Linked DNA regions of Ovis aries. The protein of the gene in region 1 interacts with the protein of each later gene in a pairwise test. Links are inferred from orthologs where the notes say so. Each region holds a gene or a part of one and is shown on either strand. Other genes may lie near its edges. The genes, in order: FEZ2 and SCOC.

Evidence for each region.
Region 2: the proteins of FEZ2 (region 1) and SCOC interact in binary tests that used the Homo sapiens proteins (3 or more experiments, as listed by UniProt). The link is inferred for Ovis aries from reciprocal best matches to the Homo sapiens genes FEZ2 and SCOC.

The regions. Positions count from the first base shown.
Region 1 is NC_056056.1:87,440,625-87,444,448, forward strand, and holds part of FEZ2 (fasciculation and elongation protein zeta-2), read left to right. Parts: intron 1-1,940; coding exon 1,941-2,049; intron 2,050-3,824. UniProt on the Homo sapiens protein: Involved in axonal outgrowth and fasciculation.
Region 2 is NC_056070.1:17,420,636-17,424,904, forward strand, and holds the start of SCOC (short coiled-coil protein), read right to left. Parts: upstream 3,008-4,269; 5' UTR 1-3,007. UniProt on the Homo sapiens protein: Positive regulator of amino acid starvation-induced autophagy.

The DNA.
Region 1 (3,824 bases):
GGCCGTAATGCTTTATGATCGGATGAAGGCAGTTCCTATCTTGATTGGAGTATTCTAGAAGTCTTTCAGTTAATCCGGCCTTGTGTCCTTTCAGCCACAAATGTTCTGGCCTTGGTGAAGATAGAGGACTGTGACTTGTCCTTCATTTTCTTGGGAGATCAAATTCACCCACAGTCAATTATTCTACATAAAATCTTCCGCTCCACTTGTCCTTTTATTACGGCCTCAATTAAGAAGGAACAAACAGCAGACAAAACGAACCTCAAAATCTCTGGACTGTCTTCACCTACTAGAATATCCTAGTGGTTCCTGACCAGGGTTAGGTGTATGGTCAGTCATTTAGTATTGGAAGATCTTCTACCCAGGAAGAGGTGGGCCAGCAAGTTTAGCAACCCAGAGTATTTCCAATTTGAGCATATTGACATTAGAGGAAATGAGGATTCCAGCAGAGAGGAGGATAGGAATGAACCATGCATATGAGAGATTTGCTGGGTAAATGAGCCAGTTTTCTCGAGCTTTTTGTGTTCACATGTTCATGGAGGCTAATATGCATTCAACAGCCAAGTGTCATTTGGGGATTGTCTGTTTTTGGCAGTTGTGGTCCCATTGCTTCTCTTTTAACCAAATTCCAGTTCATTAAATCAGTGTGTTGTTTCTCTGTTTTGAAGCTTGCATTCTTAGTTTTATAATTCCAGTGGTCTTATTTTTGTATCCTAGTATCTTACACACTTAGGAAAAAACCCACCCAATTTTTTTAGTGGCTTATTCACGATTAGATACTTGTTAAAAATGTTAGCTTTTTTAAATTTATTAATTGTATGTGTGTATCTCTGACCATTAAATAGCTTATTTGTGTAGTGTTTAACTTTACTTAGACTAATTAAATTTAATTTCATTTATATTTCTGAACTCTTTTTTTCATATAATGCCTTTAAAAAAAACGCTGGTTATTACTTTGGGATTGAAACTGAATTTTGGTCATGAAATTGGTTTTCAGTCCTTATTTTGGTATGGTTTGGAACTTTCATCAATATAACTAATTTGAATGAATGCTTCGAGTTAGAGCTGGAAGAAACATCAGCCATCCTTATCCAAGCTTCTTGTTTTAGAAAGAGCAGCTAATGCCTGCAGAAGTTACAGTGCATGATCAGAGGCTGAGGATGAATGGAGATGAGAGTCTGTTTTCTGAATTTAGTCAGGTGCTCTTTTCATTTTACTCTGTTGCCTCCTCAAAATTCTGTTTGTTAATAAGGAAGAGTAATTGCATTGGGTATAATCTGTGTATTTTATTGTGAACTCCCTTTCTTTCCCTTTTCATCTTATCTTAGCCTTACACTATAAATTAGATATTAAGCCCTAGTCTCGTATTGAGGCTGAATTCCTTCTCCTGGAAATTCTTTCTCATTGGTTAAAGAGAGATTATTCACTCTGTGGAATAGTCTATATGTTTGGAAGTTACAAAAGAAAAATAATTATAAAGCACAGTGTATTTACTACCTGTTTTGGCTTGGGAAACACGACATAACTTTCCTGTGCTTTAGTTTCCTAATCTGTAAAATGGGGATGATAATGGTTCTTCATGGTATTCTTTTTGAGGATTAAGTGAGCCAATGTAAGTAAATTGCTTAGAATGTATGTAAACAGTTTAGGTAATACCTGGCTCACAAGACAGTGGAAATGTTAGCCGTTGACTTGGTGAGCTTTCTGTTCCATGTCTTCTTCCCTCAGGACTTGTCAGCCCAGTGGTTGGGCTTTCCTTTAATCTTATTCAGGAGGCTCTGGTTTGTTGATGCTTTTCTGAGAAAGAGTAGGCCTTCTATTTTTTTTTTTTTTGCTGTGATAGTTTTTGTTCTCTCTTTCACTGTAGTACTAGATATCTGTTTAATAATGATAGACAGAATGTTAACTTTCATTGATTGTAGTTTTTTTTTTTTTTTAAGGATTTGGAATGCCCTGACAGATAATTACGGAAATGTAATGCCTGTAGACTGGAAGTCATCCCATACTAGGACCTTGCATTTGCTTACTCTGAATCTCTCAGAAAAAGGGGTAAGTTAGGATTTGCACCAATAGTTTCTGAATAACCGATTCTGATAATGGAACTAAAAAGTAGTGTTTCTCTCTAACCACAATTCATTGAGTTGCTTCTTATTTCCAAGCTTATGGCAAGTGAAGTGGTCTTCTTTTGCCATCTTGGTTTTTGCTACTGTCCACTTGCTGACATTTCCCTCCAGTTCTTCCCTAGCACACACTCACCTTTTTTATGTTTAGGTAAATTTTCATCACCTGTGTATGAACAGCAATGATCAGCATTTTTTTCTAGCTTAAATAACATAACTTTGATACATTGACAATACTCGGTAAGAACCTTAGGCTTTGATTTAATATATGGAGGATTCTGGAGTGTCTACAGAGAGTTAACTTTCTGATGAATTTAATGCTGGATGTAACATGTTTGAATATTGGAGAACCTTTAAAAGACATTTCAAGTCTTGGCTTTTTGATGTGTTCTTGGCTAACCATTGGAGGCTTCTGTGTATGTCTTGTGGAGAAGGCGATGGCACCCCACTCCAGTACTCTTGCCTGGAACATCCCATGGATGGAGGAGCCTGGTGGGCTGCAGTCCATGGGGTCACGAAGAGTCAGGCATAACTGAGCGACTTCACTTTCACTTTTTACTTTCATGCATTGGAGAAGGAAATGGCAACCCACTCCAGTGTTCTTGCCTGGAGAATCCCAGGGCCTGGGGAGCCTGGTGGGGTACCCTCTATGGGGTCACACAGAGTTGGACACGACTGAAGTGACTTAGCAGCAGCAGCAGCATGTATGTCTTGGAATTGTAAAGTGGAGACACCTTGGGTAAGGAGTGTGAGCACAGGTGGAAGGATAGCAAAGGGGACAGAAAAGGGAAGGGAATTGCTTTAAGTGGAAAATCACAGTGTGGTTTAACGCTGACGAAAAAGGAGGCCAAATGGAAGTTTCAGGGCCGGACTATTTAAATTCTTCATCAAATAGCAGTGTTAACTCATGCCAGCTCTTTTGGCATGCTCTATATTTCATTAAGTGTATTTGTGTAATTTCGGAGAGTATAATGCAGTAGGATTGTATTTTAAATAGTGCTATTAATGTTTTCTGAAACGATGTTCTTAAAAGTGTGATTCAGAAAAGCTTGCCGCCTAGAAATCCTATATTTCTAGTAAAATATAGGATTCTGACTATATTTCTTTGTATTCTAGTACATACAGGATTTATTTGTTCCAGTTATTAATCTCCTTAAGCTGTTTTGCAGGCTGACCTGACATACATTTAGGGGCAGGAATAAAGCAAAATATCTTATCCTCTGTCTTCTGTTTATTTGGATCTTAGCTATCATTCTGGGCTTAGTTCAAGTTTCCCTTCCTCTCTGAAGCTCCCTATTACTGTTTTAGCCTTTGCTGATCTCATGGAATTATATAATTTTAGAGTTGGAAGGGACTTTAAAGGACACTTAATCCAACCTCTCACTTGGGGGGAATCCCTGTTTACAGCATCTCTGACAGATGGTCATTCAGCCACAGACTAAATCCCAGCAAGGAAGGAAAATGCTCTCCTCTCTGTGGGAATCGGTCACACTTGTCAGGGTGTGAAAATCGTAAAGGACTTACATGTCCCACAGAGTTTGGCCCCCAAGTCTCTTGGGTGCTGGTCCTCACGGCACTTGATCTGTGTCTTAAATCATCATTAGTGTTTCTTAATTATGTTTGTGGATCTGTCTAGATTGTAACTTCCTGGTAGATATCTTCATATGTGTCTTCTGAGTAGCTATTACAGTGCCTGGCACATAG
Region 2 (4,269 bases), on another chromosome or scaffold:
GACACTATAAATTACAGATATCAAGAATAAGAGGGGGCATCATTATAGATTCTATAGACATTAAAAGGCTAATGAGAGACTACTAAGAACAACCTATGCCAATAAGTTTGATAATTTAGATAAAATGGACAAATCCCTGAAAGAAAAAAAAAAGCTCACTCAACAAGAACAGAAGATATGAATAGTTCTCTGTCTATATTTTAAAATTTATCTGTATTTTGAAATGTAATTACCAGGTTAATCTTCCCACAAAAGATACTATATATTCAGATGATGTCACTGGTAAATTCTTCTAGTTATTTTCAGAAATTTCATCAATTCTTCATAAACTCTTCCAGAAAATAAAATAAGAAAGAACACTTCCTAACTCATTTTATGAGAACAGCATAACTCTGATATCAAAAGTAGATGAAGACGTTAAAAAATATAAAACTGAACATAGACATGAAGTCCTCAACATATTACTAGAAAATCAAATCCATCAGTTGTCCCTAGACAGGGAGCCTGGGCAATTGTGATGCTGGCTCCATGAGTTTCATTTCTCTCCGTAATCATGTTCTAAAGCTGATTCTAAAATTCATATGGAAATACAAAGAATCTACAATAGCCAAAACAGTTCTGAAAGAACAAAGAAAGAGAATCTCAACCCCTACTTACATCGTACACAAAACTGTAAATTCAAAATGGATCATAGACAGAAACAGAGATAAATAACTTCTAGAAGACAGAGAAGAAAATCTTTGTCTCCTAGGTGTCAGCAAATTTTTTGAGAAAGGTCACAAAAACAATAATAAAATAGAAAAGATTAATTGAACTTTATAAGAATTAAAACTCCATGTTCTTTGAAAGGTATCATTTAGGAAATGAAAAGACAATAACAATACATTATCTAACAAAGGTCTTGAATTTGGAATTTCTAAGAACCTTTTAAGTCAATAATAGAGAAACTCCCAATGAAATAATGAAATACTTGCATGTGTGTGTTAGTTGCTCAGTTGTGTCCGACGCTTTGTAACCCCATGGACTGTAGCCCACCAGGCTCCTTTATCCATGGAATTCTCCAGGCAAGAATACAGGAATGGGTTGCCATTCCCTTCTCAGGGGATCTTCCCAACCCAGGGATCAAACCTGGGTCTCTTGCATTGCAAGAAGATTCTTTACCATCTGAGCCACCTGGGAAGCTGCATTGCAGGCAGATTCTTTACCACTGAGCCACTAGGGTAGCCCAATGGAATAAAAAGGAACAAACTGTTAATATGGATGAACCTGAACTATATTGTGCTGAGTGAGAATAGCCTGGTGGAAAACATATAGACTGCATGATTTTGTTACTATAGAGTCTAGAAGAGACAAAACTTTGCTGTGTAGAACAGATCAGTGGTTGCCTCGGGTTGATAATGGGTAGAGGGTTGACTGAGAAGGGGCTGGTGGGAGCTTTCTGCTGTAATGGAAATGTTCTATAATATCTTGATTGGGATGGTGGTTACACAGTGTATACAATTCCCAAAAGGTATCTTCTGTAATTTAAAATGTATATATTTGATTATATATTACTTTTCCTCACCAAAGCTGATTTCTTTCTTTAATGAGAATACTAGCCAGGTTTCTTTAAGGTTTGCAGTATGCTTGGTATGCTACATGTGATATTTTACTCAGTCGTCAATCCAGTGATCTAGGGATTACCAACCCCATTTTACAGACGAGGAAATCAAAGTCAAAGAGTGTCTTGTCCAATATCACACAGCTAGTAATAGACTGAATTAAAACCTATCTTTTTACCTGGAAAAAGAGTATCATAATACGTACTCTATTGAATTATTAAGATTGCTAGAACTAAGTAAAAATAAAGCACTGCCAAGACTTTCCAAATTGAACTGACATTGGAACCACAGCCCAAAGGATGTGGTTTGGAACTTACATCTTCAACCTAACCAACTCAAATTCCTACCAAAACAAAAATATCAGCATTCTCCTTGGTACTTAAACAAGACCCAAGGTCTCATAATGTTATAGACAAAATGTCCAAGATCCAGTCTGCAGTTATTCAGCTTATGAAGAACCATGAAAATCTCACTTTATGTGAAAATAACACAGCAACTCTGAGATGGCACAAATGTTGAAGTTGTCTTGAAAAGATTTTAGGCAGCTATTTGAAAATACTTGAACAATTATGAAAACTCCTGAAACAAAAGTTATAATCTAAAGTATAAGCAACATAATAAAAGCTATAAATAAGACCCAAATGGAAACTGTATAACTGAAAAATAAAATAACTGAAATTTAAAACTATCTCCAAAGATCCAGTGGCAGGATGGACATGAAGGAGAGAAGAATGAACTGGAGGGTACCTCAGTAGAAATTATCCAGCCTTCAAACAGGGAGAAAAATGGTTGAAAAAAAAATAACAAACTCAGAACACAAGGATGACAAAAAAGACCTGGCATTTGTGTCATCAGAATCATAGAAGGAAAGGAAAAAGAATGTGGTACTGAAAAATAGTTGAAGACATATTGGCTTTACAAGTTTGGCAAAAGACAGTTTCCCAGGAGGAAGGGATGACTAGGAAAATAATGTCTAAAAGGCTTTGGGGGTGAGGCACAGTGAAAAAGACTGTTGAGAAACACTGATCTTGTCACTGGGCACCAGTATCATTAACAATACACAGAGAACCTGCCAGATAACATTTACTTTCGTGGTGAAGAAGACTGCATCACCAATGAAATAGTCTCACAAAAAAATTTTTTTTAATGCAACCTGACCTGATCAAGCCCATACCTAGCAATTTAACAGGAAATACAGAGAACAGAGAAATGTGTTAAATCTACTGTCTGGGTAAACATCGAAATCTGATAGTGGAACAAAACAGCAACAAGTCAAGAACAAATAACATGAAAATAAAAGTCCTTTTGTTTAACAAATAAATTGCATTGGAAGAAAAAAGAATGGAGAGAAGACTTGTAGATAAGAAGACACTTAAACTACATTTTAAAAAACAGACCAAAAAAAAAAAAAGCCCCTATGGTTTATTTTGGATACACCCTTGGAAGATAAAACTATTTTTAAAATGAAGGAAAATGATTACCAATAAGTAGGATATGGTAATTCTAGAGCATTCACCTTTTTAAAAATTTCAGTATCAAACATGTATCTTGCTAGAGAATTTGAACTTAGAGGAAATCTTCAGACAAATTATCTGAAGAAGATAGCATACAAAAAGGTAACCATAATGTCGTCACAAGCAACATGTCATTCACAAAAGATTGCAAACTGGCTAAAACAATGTTGCTGATAATTAAGATGTGTCCTTGAAAGAACAGGAAAAGAATCTTGAAATGGCAAAAAGTGACCAAAAGGAACAGTACATCCAAGTGAATATAAAAAGGGTATAGAAACCTTGGCAAACTTTATATGAAGTGAACTTTTGTTGTATTGTTTCCTTTGCATTACATTTTTCAGTTAAAAAATTGTTTAAAAATAGCCACAAAATTCTCTTCTGAATAAGGAAAACATTCAATAGGGACCACTGAAATTGCACAGAAATAACTGATCATAAGATGACCATTCATGTGATCTGGAATGTGCATGTATTATAAACTACATAAGTAAAAGCATAAATTAAAATATTCTTCATAGAGAATGGGGAACTCTAAATTGGAAACTATCATTTATTATTACAAGGCAAAGTATTGTGTAAGGAAGAAATGATAAATAATAAAATAGAGAAACTTCCAAGTTCATTTTGATGTTCTAGTCTGACATACTCTCATCAAGCTCATAAAAACTTTGAACTTGTTTTTAGTAATTAGAGGGTTCTAAACATACTGTGGATATTTTAAAGTGAAATATGCTAAATGGAACATTTTGATAACTTTCAAGTGTAACCAGGTGTGTTCCTCATACTTTACACTCATTAATTTGCAAAATGTGTTTGATCTCATTCCTAAAAAAGAACTCACATTTTCCTTTATACTTATTTTTTTCCGTTGTAAGGTTATTAAATTCATTGGAGAATGAGTGTTGAACTGAATTTGGTGAGTAAAGAAAATATTCTGCTTGTTGAAACTTGATTTCAAGACTAGACTTAATAGTATGCTATACTGCTATTTGGTAAATTGTTTTCATATACTTTTCTGAAGATTATAATTTCCTAATAATAACTGATAGTTGGCTAATTTGAAGAGAATCATTTCATTCAGTTGTTTAATAGAGAAAAATGTAAGAAATTACCAGTGTGTTTTTAGTGTTTTTCAAATGAAAGTTCAGAATTTT